3 linked regions of the Drosophila melanogaster genome follow. The protein of the gene in region 1 purifies or fractionates together with the protein of each later gene. This does not show direct contact. Each region holds a gene or a part of one and is shown in the gene's direction. Other genes may lie near its edges.

Region 1 (6,178 bases):
CCAGGCCATCAACGGCAAGAACATGTGGCTAAAATACAAAAAGACCGATAAAGATGAACAAGAAGATGAAGCCGTGACAGAAGCCATGCCAGAAAGTACTTTCAAATATGACACAGACACAGATTATGGTGAACCTGCTGAAGAGTATACTGGTCTAGTAATTGAAGAGATTCCCTCATCGAATCAGACTGTGGCAGCCATTAAGAAGGAAGTGGAGGCAGAAGGTCCCCTACAACCAAAAACTAACTTCCCATGAATAAGAAATCCGAATCCGAATAAAATGAAATATGCATCTTAATGAATACAACGAGTAACTTTAATTTTGTCTCTGCTTTTTCTTTTGCTTCCCCGTTGCCCAAGTGTCCAGTTGGAACTCCAAGCCCTCCCGTCGCTGCCTTACATTCTGCGGAGTTGCATAGGAGGTAGCCTGCCGGCGATTCTCGTCAAAATCAAACAGATGATCGATTCGCATATTAAGCTTCCTGGCCCGCGTGCCTGTGCTCCAATGATCTTTCTCCCTGCGCGGCTGGAATTCGTTTTGCACGACCTTCCGACGGGGCACATGCTTCAAGGCCGTATCCCAGTCGCCGGTTTTCTTGAGGTCCAGCATAATGTTGATCATCTGGTTTAGAGTTAGCGACTTTCCCGAACCGGAACCCCACTGTAGGTAGCGATCCAGGGGCAGTCTCGCCATCCGAAGGCCCAATCGTTTGGCTTTGGCCAGCGAAAGGGGTTCGTTGTTCATAGTGTCTACCATGGCGCCCACGATGTAGATGTCATCTGGGTTGTAAGTGACCAGATCCTCCCGGCAGTGGGGCGTTAGGTAGACCAGGTTCTGCTTGGGAAAGAGTTCCGTAAAGCACTTGCTATGCAAATTTATCGGGAACTCTGGATTGTGCATGGTGGGGATGTAGCGTTGGAGGCTCTGCATGCATCTGCTGTCCATCTGGGTGTTGCAATAGTGCAGATCGAAGGGCTCATCATTCATCCGGTTCTCCGCAAAGCACATCATCAATTGCTTTGCTGCATAGGTAGCCTCCCGATTGTTCATGTGCTCATCGTAGGAGCAATCCAAAACCATTTTGGGGGCAAACTGCATGGCCCGTGTGAGTCGGTTGTTCTGCCAGTGATTAATAGTGGTATCATAGATACGCAGAAACAACGATGTGTGTCCCAGGCCATAGATAATGTGCGTATTCTCCTCGCGCTCCTTTCGCATCTCCGCAACCCGCCGCTCGGCTTCCTTCGCTCGCTCTGCCTTCTTGCGTTGATCCGCCTCCTTCTTCATCTCGATTTGCCAGAGATAGCCAAAGTACTTGATCCTAGCTGATTTTGTGGGTAGCGTCAGCACGTGCTCCCAATGATGATCCTTAAAGAATTCCAGTGACGGCACCCGCCGACCCTCCTGGTGGGCAATGTCCGCCTCCAGCTGCAGCACCTTGAGTCGCTTATCCCGTTCCTCCTTGTTCTCTGATATCGTATCATTACTTAACGCAGGAGCGGGCTGGGAAAACGGATTGACGAACTTTTTTTGGGGTTCCTCTGTGCCGGCTATCAGGTTCTCTGCGCTGGAGGTTTTGGAGGCTTGCCTCACTGGTGCGGCACATCCCTTTAGCAACTGGCTGCCCAGACGCCATCGTGCAAAATGCTTCAGCATTTTAAAAATATACCTTAATGGCAGTAAACTATGTTATAAAACTAGATCGTGAATTGAATAACAGAAACAACGTGCTAGGGTTGCCAGCAATTATGGATTGTGCGTGCGGAACTGTGATTGGCAAAACGGTGAGATAGCTGATTGATTTAAGATATGTTACTCACTTCTCTATCAGTAAATGTCATTTATCTATAAAAACTATTGTTATGGATTAAATACTTATTGAATGTGTTGTGTTATCAATAAAATAAATTGTTTAAATTCTAGCTAGTTTTTTCTGTGCAAATTTCTAGCCAAAATCCATTTGATCTGGCAGCCCTGTGCTCGAAACTCCCGCGTCGCCGAGTAACTGGCATAATAAGAAGAAGCGGCTTTGCCGACAATTTTGCGCTTGGCTCGGGAAAAACGTGTAAAACATTTAATTTACCAACAAGACTACGCGAAAAGCGACATAATCACAAACAGCAATGGCTTTGGTTTGCGCACGTAAGTGAATAATTTAGATTTTGATTTGAATTGGGCCATTATGAATCGCACTTTCCATTCCAAGTGACAAACGAAGTCCCCGAGACGCCCGTGGTTTCCCCGCACTCGGGAGCCGTTTTCGAAAAGCGGGTGATTGAGAAGTATCTGTTAGAGAATGGCTGCGATCCCATTAGCGGCAAGGAGCTGAAGCCGGAGGAGCTGATCGAGATCAAGACGCCGGCTGTGGTGAAACCGAAACCGCCAAGTGCCACCAGCATTCCGGCCACTTTGAAAACGATGCAGGACGAGTGGGACGCCCTCATGATTCACTCGTTCACACAACGCCAGCAGCTGCAAACGACGCGCCAGGAGTTGTCCCATGCGCTGTATCAGCACGATGCCGCCTGTCGTGTGATTGCCCGCCTCAATAAGGAGGTGGCCGCCGCTCGCGAAGCTCTGGCCACGTTGAAACCGCAGGCGGGCATTGCCAACGCACCCACGGCAATACCACAACCGGCCCTGGCCTCTGAGGCTGGCGGAGCTGCTGCCCATCCCATGGAGCAGGCGGGCATGAGCGCCGAGGTCATACAGAAACTGCAGGACAAGGCCACGGTGCTGACGCAGGAGCGTAAGAAGCGCGGACGCACTGTGCCCGAGGATCTGGTTACAACGGATCAGGTTAAGAACTTCCTTACTGTGGCATCCCATCCCGGCCTACACTCGGCCTCCGTTCCCGGCATTCTGGCCTTGGACATCAACAGTGCTGATCACAGTAAGATTCTGACCGGAGGCAACGATAAAAACGCCACCGTGTTCAACAAGGACACAGAGCAGATGGTGGCCATCCTGAAGGGACACACCAAGAAGATCACCAAAGTCATATATCATCCTAACGAGGATACAGTCATAACCGGCTCGCCCGACATGAACATACGCATCTGGCACGTGCCCACTTCGCAGACGCAGCTTCTCCTGCGCTGCCACGAAGGACCTGTTACTGGCCTTTCGCTGCACCCCACTGGCGACTACTTGCTGTCCACATCATCCGACAAACACTGGGCATTCTCCGATATCCGCACAGGACGCCTGCTCACCAAGGTAATCGATACCGCCGAAGTCGGGCTGACGACAGCGCAATTCCATCCTGATGGTCTGATCTTCGGTACGGGCACCGTGGACTCGCAGGTTAAGATCTGGGATTTGAAGGAGCAGAGCAATGTGGCCAACTTCCCTGGTCATACCGGTCCCATTTCGGCCATCTCCTTCTCGGAGAACGGTTACTACCTGGCCACCGCTGCAGATGATGCCTGCGTTAAGCTGTGGGATCTGCGAAAGCTGAAGAACTTTAAGACAATCCAGCTTGATGACGGCTACGAGGTCAAGGATCTGTGCTTCGACCAAAGCGGAACCTATCTGGCTATCGCCGGCAGCGATGTCAGGTAAGTGAATTGTACTTTTCTTATTGAAATCATTCAGAATGAGGTTAAAATAAGTTTTAAATTGTATTCATTTAATGTTTTAAGTATGGTGTTGTTGTCTAGCTTAGACTTTATTTTTCCATCGTTGCTCAACCTGCTGATCATGATGCTTCTTGAAATGCGCCATCCAGTTGTGTAGCCGGTTCTGCTTGACTAACGCACGGCGAGACATTTCCTTCTCCGCTGCCATGCGACGTCGAACCTGCTGCTCGACACTTCGCAGCTTGCTCGGTTCGATGTGGTCCAGTTTAGCCAAGAGCTCCAAAACGTAGCCCTGGATTTTCTCCACCTTGGCAAGAGTCGTGTCCTGTTCGTCCGCGTATGTAGACTTGGGTGGCGGTGGTGGAGGCTGCATGTCTTCCAGTGTTCGCCATTGCTTGGACGACTTCTGGGCTGCTGGCTTGGATGGCGGCTGCGTAACCTCTCGCTTTTGCTCCGGCTTAACTTTGTTTTGGATTTGCTTGAGAATAATTGGTACAATAGCATTTAGCTTGATATTCAGCTTGCTGGAAATTAAGAATATAAAATAGTTGATTCAAATATGTACGCATCCCAACTCACTCCTTGCAGTATCTCTGCTCGAAGTCATTTAATAGACCCTTGGCACGCTCCTGAAGACCTGCCACCCGTCGCTGCAGGAACTCGGGATCCTTGAGGAACACATTGGCTTTCACCTGACGCTCGTACGTCTTCTGGGCCTTGTCATGGAGGATGGCTACGATGTGGTTCAAGATTGCCAACTGAGAAAAGCGCCTGTTGTAGTTGGACACCTTTAAGCGATTTCTCTCATAGCCACGTATCCAAATCTCTGCATTGAGATGATTCCGCTTTGCCAAATACGGACGCACTATCTTCTCCATGTAGTCTTGGACTTGACGCACTTGCTCGAGACCCGCTGGATGTCGTTCGGTGATCTCCATGGCTACGATTTCCTGCGGCATGCTAAGCCTATTGCTGGCATCGTCTCCCTCGGTTTGCTCCTCCTCAACTGTGTCATCAAAGTAGCTGATCAGTTTGAGTAAATACTGAAAGCGACCGTAGACCTCCTGCACTTCCATCAGCACTCGCTGATGCTCCAGCTTCACCTCGTTCAGCTCTTCGCTCAGTTTGCTTTCCTTCAGTGTCTTCAGCTTTTCTTGGGCCTCTAACATTTTCTTAAACTCCTCCGCTTCCATTTTCTTGAGCGACTCCTCTGCAAACTTGTGAAACTCCTCGGCCTTTTCGTATACATTGTCTTGGTATTCCTTCTCGCGTTTTCGGTCCAAAAAAAGTTCTTGCGTAGCATAGTACATAAAGCGATTGCGGGTAATCTCCCTCAAGAGTAGGATGTCCCTGAAAAAGCTGTGAAATTGCACCAGCACATAATTCATTTGATTCCTTACGTTTTCATGCGAAATTTTCTGGCCAAACGTTGCGCACTGGCGTCCTTAATATAATCGGGATCGATGGTGGTGACCACACAAGGAGCACGGGGATTGGCGATCTCTCCGCGCTGAGGAATATTAATAAAACTTAACTTTGGAAATATAAAAATTAATTATTTCGCACCGCATTGAAGTCCTCAATCGATAAGTTTATGGGCTTTGGAGGCTCCGGTTCCACATGGGTCTTGGGTCGCACGAAATCTTGAAGAGCAGCATGCATTTTTAAGTCTTCGCATATTAGAATATAATACTTACTTTCATATTCGCGGTAAACTTTTCTTTTAAACTTTCGCATTGTTAAGTTAAATTCGCCAAAGAAGATTCCCTTAGTTAACTTGTTTATTTGGTTGCCACGGTACAAATACAAATTCTGACGGTTGCTTCGTTTTATTTACAGGGTTTACCTGTGCAAGCAGTGGCAGGAACTGAAGGTATTCAACGACCACACGGCCCTGGCAACGGGCGTGAGATTCGGCAAGCACGCCCAGTATCTGGCATCCACCAGCATGGACCGCACCCTGAAGCTCTACGCCATCGAATAAGTCCACACTTAGTAATTAAGTCCAAAATTTTCTTATACAATATTCCCTAATGATTGTGTGTTTTCTTGAACAAATCTTGCAGAATAATAAACCTGACCCTCTATCCAAATAATTCAGAATACGAAATATCTTTGGGTTACTTTTGGAAACCAGCAGACAAGTTTTTCCTTAAATACTAACAAAATCCTTAAAGATTCATAATTTCAAGTACTAATATATTATCGTTTAAACTTTTCCGCAGACTATTCATATTCATTTGATTCACTTTTGATGCATACACTTATTAACTTATTCATTTCGGAACTTGGTACATCATTGTTTTATCCTTATGAGGCCGAGATCTGCTTAAGCGGTCGCTCCAAATAGGAGGCCAGTGACATGGCCTTTTGCTTCAGAAGACCCAATCCCACCGTTTGCTTGGCGTACAGGCACAAAAGGACACTGGCAACCTGTAAAAAGGAATATAGTTAAGATTTTATAGAACGAATCCCTGCTAAAAAAAAGAGGATCACCCACCTGTGTGATGGCCACATGACCGTTTTCACAATCGATGAGCACGAAAGTGAGGCGACCTTCGCGAAAGGCGTTGCGTCCATGCTTCTCGTAGGCCGC
Region 2 (3,498 bases), on another chromosome or scaffold:
TACTTGACTACCGATTGTTGCTTAAGTATCATTATTGCTTACACAATCGCATTAACGCCGCGACAATAGCGCTCCCACATGGATCGGAATCGAGGTTGGCCTCCGATGTCCCACACCTTGATAGTCACATTGCCTCTGGTGATCTTGCGCATGTTGAATCCAACTGTGGGTATCATGTCCTCAGCGAATTGGCCGGACTACAAGAAACAAAAATAATTAGTAAGTAATCGTGTCTTAAATAAAATACAACTTTTATATTAGCAAAGAACAAAGCCTAGAAGTATGCAATCCAAAATAATGTAAAACTCGTGTAAAAAATTGATTTTTTACACATGACAGCATCCAAAACCTTAAAAAATTTGTTATTCTTTTTGAAAATGCTCTTAAATAAATAACTATTGTAATATCTTAAAGTATTGATCAAACAATGTCTTTTGGTACTAAATTTAATTCAACATACAACACTTAAATTGATAATTGATTCTAACCCATAAATCTTTGTTCTGTATCAGCATCAATCACCTTACATATGCATTCAATAAGAGAATCGAAAGCTCCTAAAATGGCAAGATGTTACTTCTGTGACTTAGTTTAAATTAAAAAGGTATACTATAGGTTAGCAGTCGCTAGTGAAATGGGAAAAGTGACTAATTGGCGCCACCCACAAGTTTGTTTTCATTCCGAACCTGAACATTACACTAATGCACGAATCTGAATGCAAACACGGAATTGGAGTCTAATAGCAGTGATAAGCAGGGGAATATTTCCGTTTCGGGAGCACTTGAACAAACAAATTTCCCGTAGATGCGGGCAGACATTTGAATCGAATTCACATGACTCATAATAAGTCAGGCGGTCACAAAGGCAGTAGTTACTCCACCTCCCGCAACGACTGGCAAGTGTATGCAACTATCTACGAGTTCCAGTAAATGGTAACTTGAGATCGTCGCATTATCAGCGTGCAGAAATGTGTGAAAAAAACCAGGGAGGCGGTACGGGAATACGGGGTCAGGGGTTGAAGTGCTGATAATGGCGTCATTGTGCGGAGAAACATGCGTATATATGGGCTATATGTAGGTTTATTGATTACAGCGGCAGGAACGGTAAACTTTACCACTAAAAGGAAACGGTTAGCACAGCGTTAATTACGGATGCAGTGAAAGAAACTGGGAGTACGAAAAGATAAGAAATAAACAATGTTAGAGTGGGGGAATCAAGCTAAGACCAATTCCTTTGTCACTGGGGGTTTGTAATGCTTTTTAAGTAGTAGCTGATCCCCCGGCTTTCCGTGAACCCCCTCCCCACCCACACAACAGACAACCACACACAAAAAAAACCACCCTCTCACCCATACACCCACACGAATTCGCACACACCCACTGCGAAAATACTCACTGCAATAACATTGACGAACGTCGTCTTCCCGGAGAACTGCAGCCCCACTAGCGTGAGTTCCATCTCCTCTTTCCAGAAGATGCTCTTGAACCACTCGAGGATCCTGTTGATGAGGGCCAACATCCTGGGGCAGGTGTGTTTCTGGTCGGGATCTGCTTGAAATTCGCGAAAAAAGGTTTCCTTTTCCAAAGAGCGTAAATGTTGTCGTGAAAAAACAACTGGGCAGGTCAGTGTGGCCAAGTGCGCGGTAGTGTACTTAGTAGTATTCGTAGTGAATGGTAATCGTTTATTTCAGCATGTATCCAATTAAGAGAAAATAAAATTCATATGGTATATATATATTAAGTACAAATAAATAATATTATGTCTTCGGGTTTCATCGGGAATATTATTAATAAATTGCATTTAAAATATATGTGAAATCGCTACTGGACAATATTTACTGTACTTGCTATCGATAACGTGTAACCGATTTCCGTATAGTTCGCTGTGACTGGCAATTAAGGCAGAAGAAGTTAGTAAACAAAATGGTAAGATGATGTGAAAATTTTATTAATTTTAATTAAATGAATAATACATGTATATTTTCAGGCGCGCAATGCAGAGAAGGCAATGTAAGTAACCCGGATATACGTATAACATAAGATTTCCAGCACTCATCCGCTTATTTTCGACAGGACAACTTTGGCACGTTGGCGGGCCGCAAAAGAAGTGGAATCTGGTGAAAAGGAACGCCGGCCCTATTTGGCCTCCGAGTGCCACGATTTGCCCAGATGTGAGAAGTTCCGCCTGGAGATAATACGCGACATATCGAAGAAGGTGGCCCAGATACAGAATGGTACCTATTTCGGTTTATTTATTTCTCCCTAACAATATACACTAATAGCGACCACTTATAGCTGGCTTGGGAGAATTCCGGATTCGCGATCTGAACGATGAAATCAACAAGTTATTGCGTGAGAAACGGCATTGGGAAAATCAGATATCCTCATTGGGTGGCCCCCACTATAGACGCTATGGTCCCAAGATGTTCGATGCGGAGGGCCGTGAAGTTCCCGGCAATCGAGGCTACAAATACTTTGGAGCCGCCAAGGATCTGCCGGGTGTTCGCGAGCTCTTTGAACAGGATCCTCCGCCGCCACCCAGGAAATCACGCGCTGAACTAATGAAGGACATAGATGCCGAATACTACGGCTATCGAGATGACGAAGATGGTGTTCTGATCCCTCTGGAGGAACGCATCGAACGAGCGGCCATTCAGAAGGCCGTGCAGGAATGGCGGGAGAAAATGGCCAGAGATGGTCGCATAATCGATGACGAAGAGGAGGATGAAATATATCCCCTTTCGGGACCAGCACGCGAAGCCATCGAGGATGCCAAGGCTCGAGCCGCCGTGGAGGATCCTCATGGCCTATTGGCATCCAAGTTCACCGCTCACGTTCCCGTGCCGACGCAACAAGATGTACAGGAAGCACTGCTGCGCCAGCGGAAACGGGAACTGCTGGAGAAATACGCCGGTGGCACTAACTAAGCTCAATAAACATTCTAAACTCTTAGTTTGATACATTTAAATCGCGTGTTCTTTTAACACGGCATGTTTTGGGTTATGATCATCTATAATTGGAATAGATAAATAGTTAAACAATTTTTGGCAAGGCACTTCAATGCGCTCTAGTCTCTTATAACTAGAAAATGTAGAATGAATCAGTATTGAAATTGATCGAAATTTCGGCGTCCGCCGCCACGTCCGCCTCCAAAACGACCACCTCTTCCTCCAAAACCGCCACCTTCAGCAGCGCGCTTGTCCTTCATGGCTTTAAAGCGTCTAGCCATGTTGTGCAGTTCGTCGGGCACTTCCTGCTCCGCCTCCTGCAGTATCTCAATTAGTTCCTTGGCCATAGCCCAATCCTCGCGCGTAAAAAAGCTTATTGATGTGCCCTGTCGGCCAGCACGTCCGGTGCGACCAACACGGTGCACATACTCCTCGATGTTGTGCGGAAAATCATAGTTGATGACATGTCTTTGTGGATGAAAAAATAATGACTAATGGGTTCCTCGACTCGAAAAATTTGCTTACGTGATATCCTCAATGTCCAGGCCACG
Region 3 (5,851 bases), on another chromosome or scaffold:
TGCGAGCGGGGCGAGGCTGGGCTCGAATCCTGGAAGCTGACACGTGGGCGTTAGTAGTGTCTCCGACTGGAAGACATCACCATCTGCTCCTCCTACAACCAGGCCACTTTGTCCTGGCTCTGCTGCCGACGGCATGGTGCTATTGAATCCCAGACCGGGCAGAGCAGATGGCAAAACCATCGGTTCCTTGAGGATGTCTACATTGCGGATATAAATCTTCGGCTGGCGCGGCTTCTCCGGCTCCCCGACAACATCAGGAACTTCAGGGAGACTATTGTCCGTATTGACCGAATGGTTCTGCAGCTGGAAGTCGAACGGCAGCAAAGCGGTCTCCCTGAGCACGTCCACGCTCTTGATGGAGATCTTCTGGATGGGCTTTGGCGGCGGAGCTGGTAAATTCGCAGCAGGTGCTGTTGGCATTGTCTGTTCGGTCGGCGATGCACCTACAGCCACACCTTCCAGCAGATCAAGAATGTTAGCGGCGGACCCGCTATCCGGCATTAAGGGCGGGAAATCCGGGAGTGGCTCCCTTAGGCAATCTACGCTTTTTATAAAGATGCGGCTCTTGGGTCGATTTTGGCTCTGCGACATCTGAGTCTGCTTTTTAGTTTGTGCTTCAGTGACTTTTCTGCCCATAAGCGCAAGTGTCTCACTGTCCTCCATTTGATGGTCCAAGCTGAGGTGCAAGCTGAGCGCATCGCTGGTGTAGAAAATGTTTGAGCAGCCTGTCGAAAAACACGTGAAAAGTGAATGCAAATATGATGAAGCATTCCAGCAGAGCACTCATATTGAAGGCGCACTATGCCTCACCTGGACACTGTTTCCTGTGCTGCTCCATATAGCAGTTGCCCTGACTAAGGTGTTGCTGAAGACGCATCTGGCAGAGGCTTAAGAATGGACAATTAGGACAGCGCAGGATAAGAGGCGGACCCTCCTGAATGATTGCCTTGCCCTCCACGCTGGCGCAGCTGGAATTTCGAGTTGGTGGCGTTGGCGTGGCATTCAGGCGATCCTTGGCTGCCGCTTCCGCAAGTTCCGACTTGATTAGTTCCTCCGACTTAATTTCCGCTGTACGCCTGCGGAAGGCATTGCGGTAGCTTTTCTCTGGTTGCTGCAAGTCGGTGGTGTGGATCTGGACAAAGGGAATGCCCTGATTGGGCTGGGACTCCACCGCCACCTCAGTAGGTGATCGATTCCCGCCATCGGCCAGCCACAAAGTAGTTCCAGAAGGGGTGGTGTTTGCAGCAGACGCGGAGGCAGATCCGGATCCCGATCCGATGACCAGCTCTTCGTCAAAGAATCCCCCGAAGTTGGAGTCCTGCTCCAAGGAGTGAACCGGCGTGGAAAGCGACAGGTCTTGGTGCGGATGTGTAGGATGCGGATGCGACAACGGGAGCAGCTGGAAGACACACGGCGTGTTTTTCTGGCCAGAGGTACTCGCTGGTTGCTCACCTGGTTGCCGCCGTAATATCCCGGATAGGTCGCATCGCTCATCGTGGGTGCCTTCCTTGGTCCAGTTGATTCCCGGTGCCGGATTCCGGTTGCCGGTTGCCGGTTTTCCGCTTCCTGGGCACACGCCTCTTAATTCCGCATCACAAAAATTGGCATTACGCAGAAAAAAAACTTTTCATCACAAAATAACTGATAGCGAACAGCTGTTGCTGTACACAGTGTGGCAGCGGTGTTTGCACAACTATATTCGGTCACACTGTCGCGTTATGTTATGTCGTGTGTATAGGCCCTTTATTAAATTGAATAATTTAAGTTACCAATATTAAGACCGAAGTTAAATCAAACGGTATACGAAGACTAAATACAATATAATGAAATTTTTTTGTACTAAGCTAGAATAGTTTAACTAGAGGTTCTATAAATATACCAAAACGTGCTGGAGATATCGCTGTTATCGAAGACTAACCATCGCTAGCGGCTACTGCAAAAAAAAGAGCGGAGTTTCGTGGACTCGAGTGAAAATTGTGAAAATCCATTGTATACGCGACAGAAAGCAACATAAGGCCCCAGAATGCCGCGAATAATGATCAAGGGCGGCGTGTGGCGCAACACGGAGGTAATTATCCCAATAGTCTATCGGTTAACCACACATGGCTTACATTGGCTACCGATTTCATTTTCCCAGGATGAAATCCTCAAAGCTGCGGTTATGAAATATGGCAAGAACCAGTGGAGTCGAATTGCCTCCCTCCTGCACAGAAAGTCCGCCAAGCAGTGCAAGGCCAGGTGGTACGAGTGGCTGGATCCCAGCATCAAGAAGACCGAGTGGTCCCGTGAGGAGGACGAGAAACTGCTCCACTTGGCCAAGCTGATGCCGACGCAGTGGCGCACCATAGCCCCGATCATCGGACGGACGGCAGCCCAGTGCCTGGAGCGCTATGAGTACTTGCTGTGAGTCCAACGCACAACATACTAAGTAGAAAATTTCTGATCCCTTTCCTGCCGTACAGAGACCAAGCCCAACGCAAAGAGGATGGCGAGGACACGATGGATGATCCTCGCAAGTTGAAGCCCGGAGAGATTGACCCCAATCCAGAGACCAAGCCGGCGCGGCCCGATCCCAAGGACATGGACGAGGACGAGCTGGAAATGCTGTCCGAGGCACGCGCCCGCTTGGCCAACACGCAAGGCAAGAAAGCCAAGCGCAAGGCTCGCGAAAAGCAACTGGAGGAAGCCCGCCGCCTGGCCACTCTCCAAAAGCGGCGCGAACTTCGTGCCGCCGGAATTGGCAGCGGAAATCGCAAGCGGATCAAGGGAATAGACTACAACGCCGAGATTCCCTTCGAAAAGCGACCTGCCCACGGATTCTACGACACTTCCGAGGAACACTTGCAGAAAAATGAACCCGACTTCAACAAGATGCGGCAGCAGGACCTAGATGGAGAACTCCGCTCAGAGAAGGAGGAACGCGAACGCAAGCGGGACAAGCAGAAGCTGAAGCAGCGCAAAGAGAATGAAGTGCCCACCGCAATGCTGCAAAACATGGAGCCCGAGCGGAAGCGCTCCAAACTAGTCCTGCCTACGCCGCAGATTTCCGACATGGAACTACAGCAGGTAGTCAAGCTGGGACGCGCCAGTGAGATGGCAAAGGAAATTGCCGGTGAGAGCGGCATAGAGACGACGGATGCTTTGCTAGCCGACTACTCCATTACACCCCAGGTAGCAGCCACTCCACGTACTCCGGCTCCGTACACCGATCGCATCATGCAGGAGGCCCAAAACATGATGGCCCTCACCCACACAGAGACGCCACTCAAAGGTGGCCTGAACACACCGCTGCACGAGTCAGACTTCTCCGGCGTGCTGCCCAAGGCGGCCTCCATCGCCACGCCTAACACAGTGATTGCCACGCCGTTTAGAACCCAACGCGAGGGCGGAGCAGCCACTCCCGGCGGATTCCAAACGCCCTCCTCCGGAGCCCTAGTTCCCGTAAAGGGGGCAGGAGGGGCTACGGGTGTCGTCAATACACCTGCCTACGTGAGGGACAAGCTAAGCATCAATCCTGAGGAGAGTATGGGCGTCACCGAGACCCCAGCACATTACAAAAACTACCAAAAGCAACTAAAGTCTACACTGCGTGACGGTCTCTCCACGCTGCCCGCTCCACGGAATGACTATGAGATCGTGGTGCCTGAGCAGGAGGAAAGCGAACGCATTGAGACCAACTCAGAACCCGCCGTCGAGGATCAGGCGGATGTCGACGCCAGGTTATTGGCTGAACAAGAGGCGCGCCGAAAGCGAGAGCTAGAGAAGCGCTCCCAGGTTATTCAGCGTAGTCTCCCGCGACCAACTGAAGTGAACACCAAGATTCTGCGACCGCAGTCCGAGAAACAGAACCTTACGGAACAGCAGCAGGCCGAAGAGCTGATTAAACACGAAATGATCACCATGCAGCGTGAGTAAACCCAACGTTTCCATTTTAACCCAAGTAACTAACGTCCTTTTTCTTGGCAGTGTACGACTCGGTCAAGGATCCCGTGCCTGGTCAATCGCAGCACAAGTTGGAACAGCTACAAAGCTACTTTAAGGCCAATCCCTACGAGGACATCTCGCAGCAAGAGTTGGCGAAGGCCAAGCAAATGCTCACCGAGGAAATGGAGGTGGTGAAGGAGCGCATGGCGCATGGCGAACTGCCCCTAGACGTTTATGCCCAGGTGTGGCAGGAGTGCCTCGGCCAGGTTCTTTACCTACCCTCCCAACATCGCTACACACGCGCCAATTTGGCCAGCAAGAAGGATCGATTAGAGTCTGCCGAGAAACGGCTGGAGACAAATCGCCGCCACATGGCCAAGGAAGCCAAGCGCTGCGGCAAGATCGAGAAGAAGCTGAAGATTCTCACCGGCGGCTACCAGGCGCGCGCCCAGGTGCTGATTAAGCAGCTTCAGGACACGTACGGCCAGATTGAGCAGAACTCTGTCTCACTCTCGACATTCCGCTTTTTGGGCGAACAGGAGGCCATCGCTGTGCCGCGACGCCTGGAATCGCTGCAAGAGGACGTGCGTCGCCAGATGGACCGCGAGAAGGAGCTGCAGCAAAAGTACGCTAGCTTAGTGGAGGAGCGCGATTCGCTTTACTCTCAAATCGAACATATAACTGGCGTCAGGCCCACGGCCCAGCAACTCCTGCCCGACCAGGAAGCGTAAACCTTCTTTTGGAACCCAAGTCCGTTCTTATTTAATTACAGTAATTACATGCCAGCAAACAGCTATCACCACCTAATATCCCGATCCATATTCCTCGCTAGCGGCCGTACTTCTGGTAGACCCACTCCTTGTTGTCCAGCGGACAGACCAGGCGCGTTTTCAACCAGCGCGCGATGCAGTGGTAATGGAATGCGTGGTTGCACTCGCCCCAAGCCACAGTGCACTCGTCTTGGTTTGCATTCGGGTCCGCCTGGCACTCGATGCACAGGTTCATGATGTGGTTACGGCAGATGGCACAGTTGTCCACTGCTACGTCCCATCCCCACATGGCGTGCGCAACCCATTTCTTCACCACAAAGCGCTCCGTCCTGGCCTGGACAGCTCCTCCACTACAGGATGGCTCTTCGTCATTGAAGTCCATGTCGTGGAAGTCCTCCGTCTCCTCAACCTCTATCTCCTCGGCCATGGTGTGAAATTACGAATTTTTTTTCTTTTTCAAAATACAACACTTATTTTCGTATTCGAATTTGATTTGAACTATTTTAAATTCCATTTGTTTTTGGCCTGACAGTTAATAAAAAAAAGTTGACCACTACCGATTTATCTACGAAATAACAACGGCGAATAATTTTAAAAATAAATGCAGAAAAGAAATTAAACCTTGTGATCATATTAAGTGGGGCTCAAGAAAGCTTATCATCGGTAAACCACTTTTGAATCCCTAAATTTAGACAATTTTTTTAAACAAGAAAGAATGTTATAGTCGAATTTCTCGACTATCAGATACCAGATAGTGGGAGTGAGTTTGAGAGAGAAATTTCAAAATTATCTTGGCATATCGATAGAAATTTGTATTCCTTTTAACGAGTTTAATATACCCCTCTATGAGTAATGGGTATGATAACAAATTACGGTTTTTATAATGCCTTTCTTAAACAAAATAGCTGTTTCCCAAACTCGAATGTCATTATTATTAAGGAAGCTTTACTGCTAACGGGAAGTCATGGCTTAGGCTTAGGGTATATCAAATAAATTCTTTACACGTTCTTCTCAGTTTGGGAAAGGTTTTTTACCCTCTTCAGGTGCTTCTTGCCAATAAAGTGCTGTTGCAAGGTGCTCTCATGGTTCATCATCATGTTGCAGGGCTGGCAGTAGTACTGACCCATTGGAGTGCGATACAAGGCCAGTTCCGCGGC

What was found. Proteins that work in one complex are often made in the same cells at the same time.
Region 2: the proteins of Prp19 (region 1) and CG9667 purify together in Drosophila melanogaster (affinity purification with western blotting; one study listed by BioGRID). This does not show direct contact.
Region 3: the proteins of Prp19 (region 1) and Cdc5 purify together in Drosophila melanogaster (affinity purification with western blotting; one study listed by BioGRID). This does not show direct contact.

The regions. Positions count from the first base shown.
Region 1 is NT_033778.4:18,446,855-18,453,032, reverse strand, and holds Prp19 (Pre-RNA processing factor 19), read left to right. Parts: upstream 1-1,991; 5' UTR 1,992-2,124; coding exon 2,125-2,143; intron 2,144-2,207; coding exon 2,208-3,561; intron 3,562-3,612; exon of another isoform or gene 3,613-3,664; coding exon of another isoform or gene 3,665-4,106; intron 4,107-4,161; coding exon of another isoform or gene 4,162-4,932; intron 4,933-4,982; coding exon of another isoform or gene 4,983-5,092; intron 5,093-5,148; coding exon of another isoform or gene 5,149-5,225; intron 5,226-5,279; coding exon of another isoform or gene 5,280-5,319; exon of another isoform or gene 5,320-5,421; coding exon 5,422-5,566; 3' UTR 5,567-5,672; downstream 5,673-6,178. Other genes in the region: Dnaaf3 (dynein axonemal assembly factor 3), read left to right, coding at 1-256; rswl (roswell), read right to left, coding at 317-1,657; CG30120 (uncharacterized protein), read right to left, coding at 3,665-4,106, 4,162-4,932, 4,983-5,092, 5,149-5,225, 5,280-5,319; Lamtor2 (late endosomal/lysosomal adaptor, MAPK and MTOR activator 2), read right to left, coding at 5,893-6,015, 6,083-6,178.
Region 2 is NT_033777.3:8,124,740-8,128,237, reverse strand, and holds CG9667 (uncharacterized protein), read left to right. Parts: upstream 1-1,880; 5' UTR 1,881-1,922; coding exon 1,923-1,925; intron 1,926-1,986; coding exon 1,987-2,009; intron 2,010-2,072; coding exon 2,073-2,233; intron 2,234-2,294; coding exon 2,295-2,926; 3' UTR 2,927-2,948; downstream 2,949-3,498. Other genes in the region: Arl8 (ADP ribosylation factor-like 8), read right to left, coding at 43-197, 1,396-1,518; CG7878 (uncharacterized protein), read right to left, coding at 3,100-3,415, 3,473-3,498.
Region 3 is NT_037436.4:357,301-363,151, reverse strand, and holds Cdc5 (cell division cycle 5), read left to right. Parts: upstream 1-1,768; 5' UTR 1,769-2,023; coding exon 2,024-2,068; intron 2,069-2,137; coding exon 2,138-2,403; intron 2,404-2,462; coding exon 2,463-3,907; intron 3,908-3,966; coding exon 3,967-4,655; 3' UTR 4,656-4,752; coding exon of another isoform or gene 4,753-5,121; 3' UTR 5,122-5,301; downstream 5,302-5,851. Other genes in the region: CG1233 (uncharacterized protein), read right to left, coding at 1-725, 811-1,399, 1,453-1,494; Roc1b (regulator of cullins 1b), read right to left, coding at 4,753-5,121; CG1231 (uncharacterized protein), read right to left, coding at 5,693-5,851.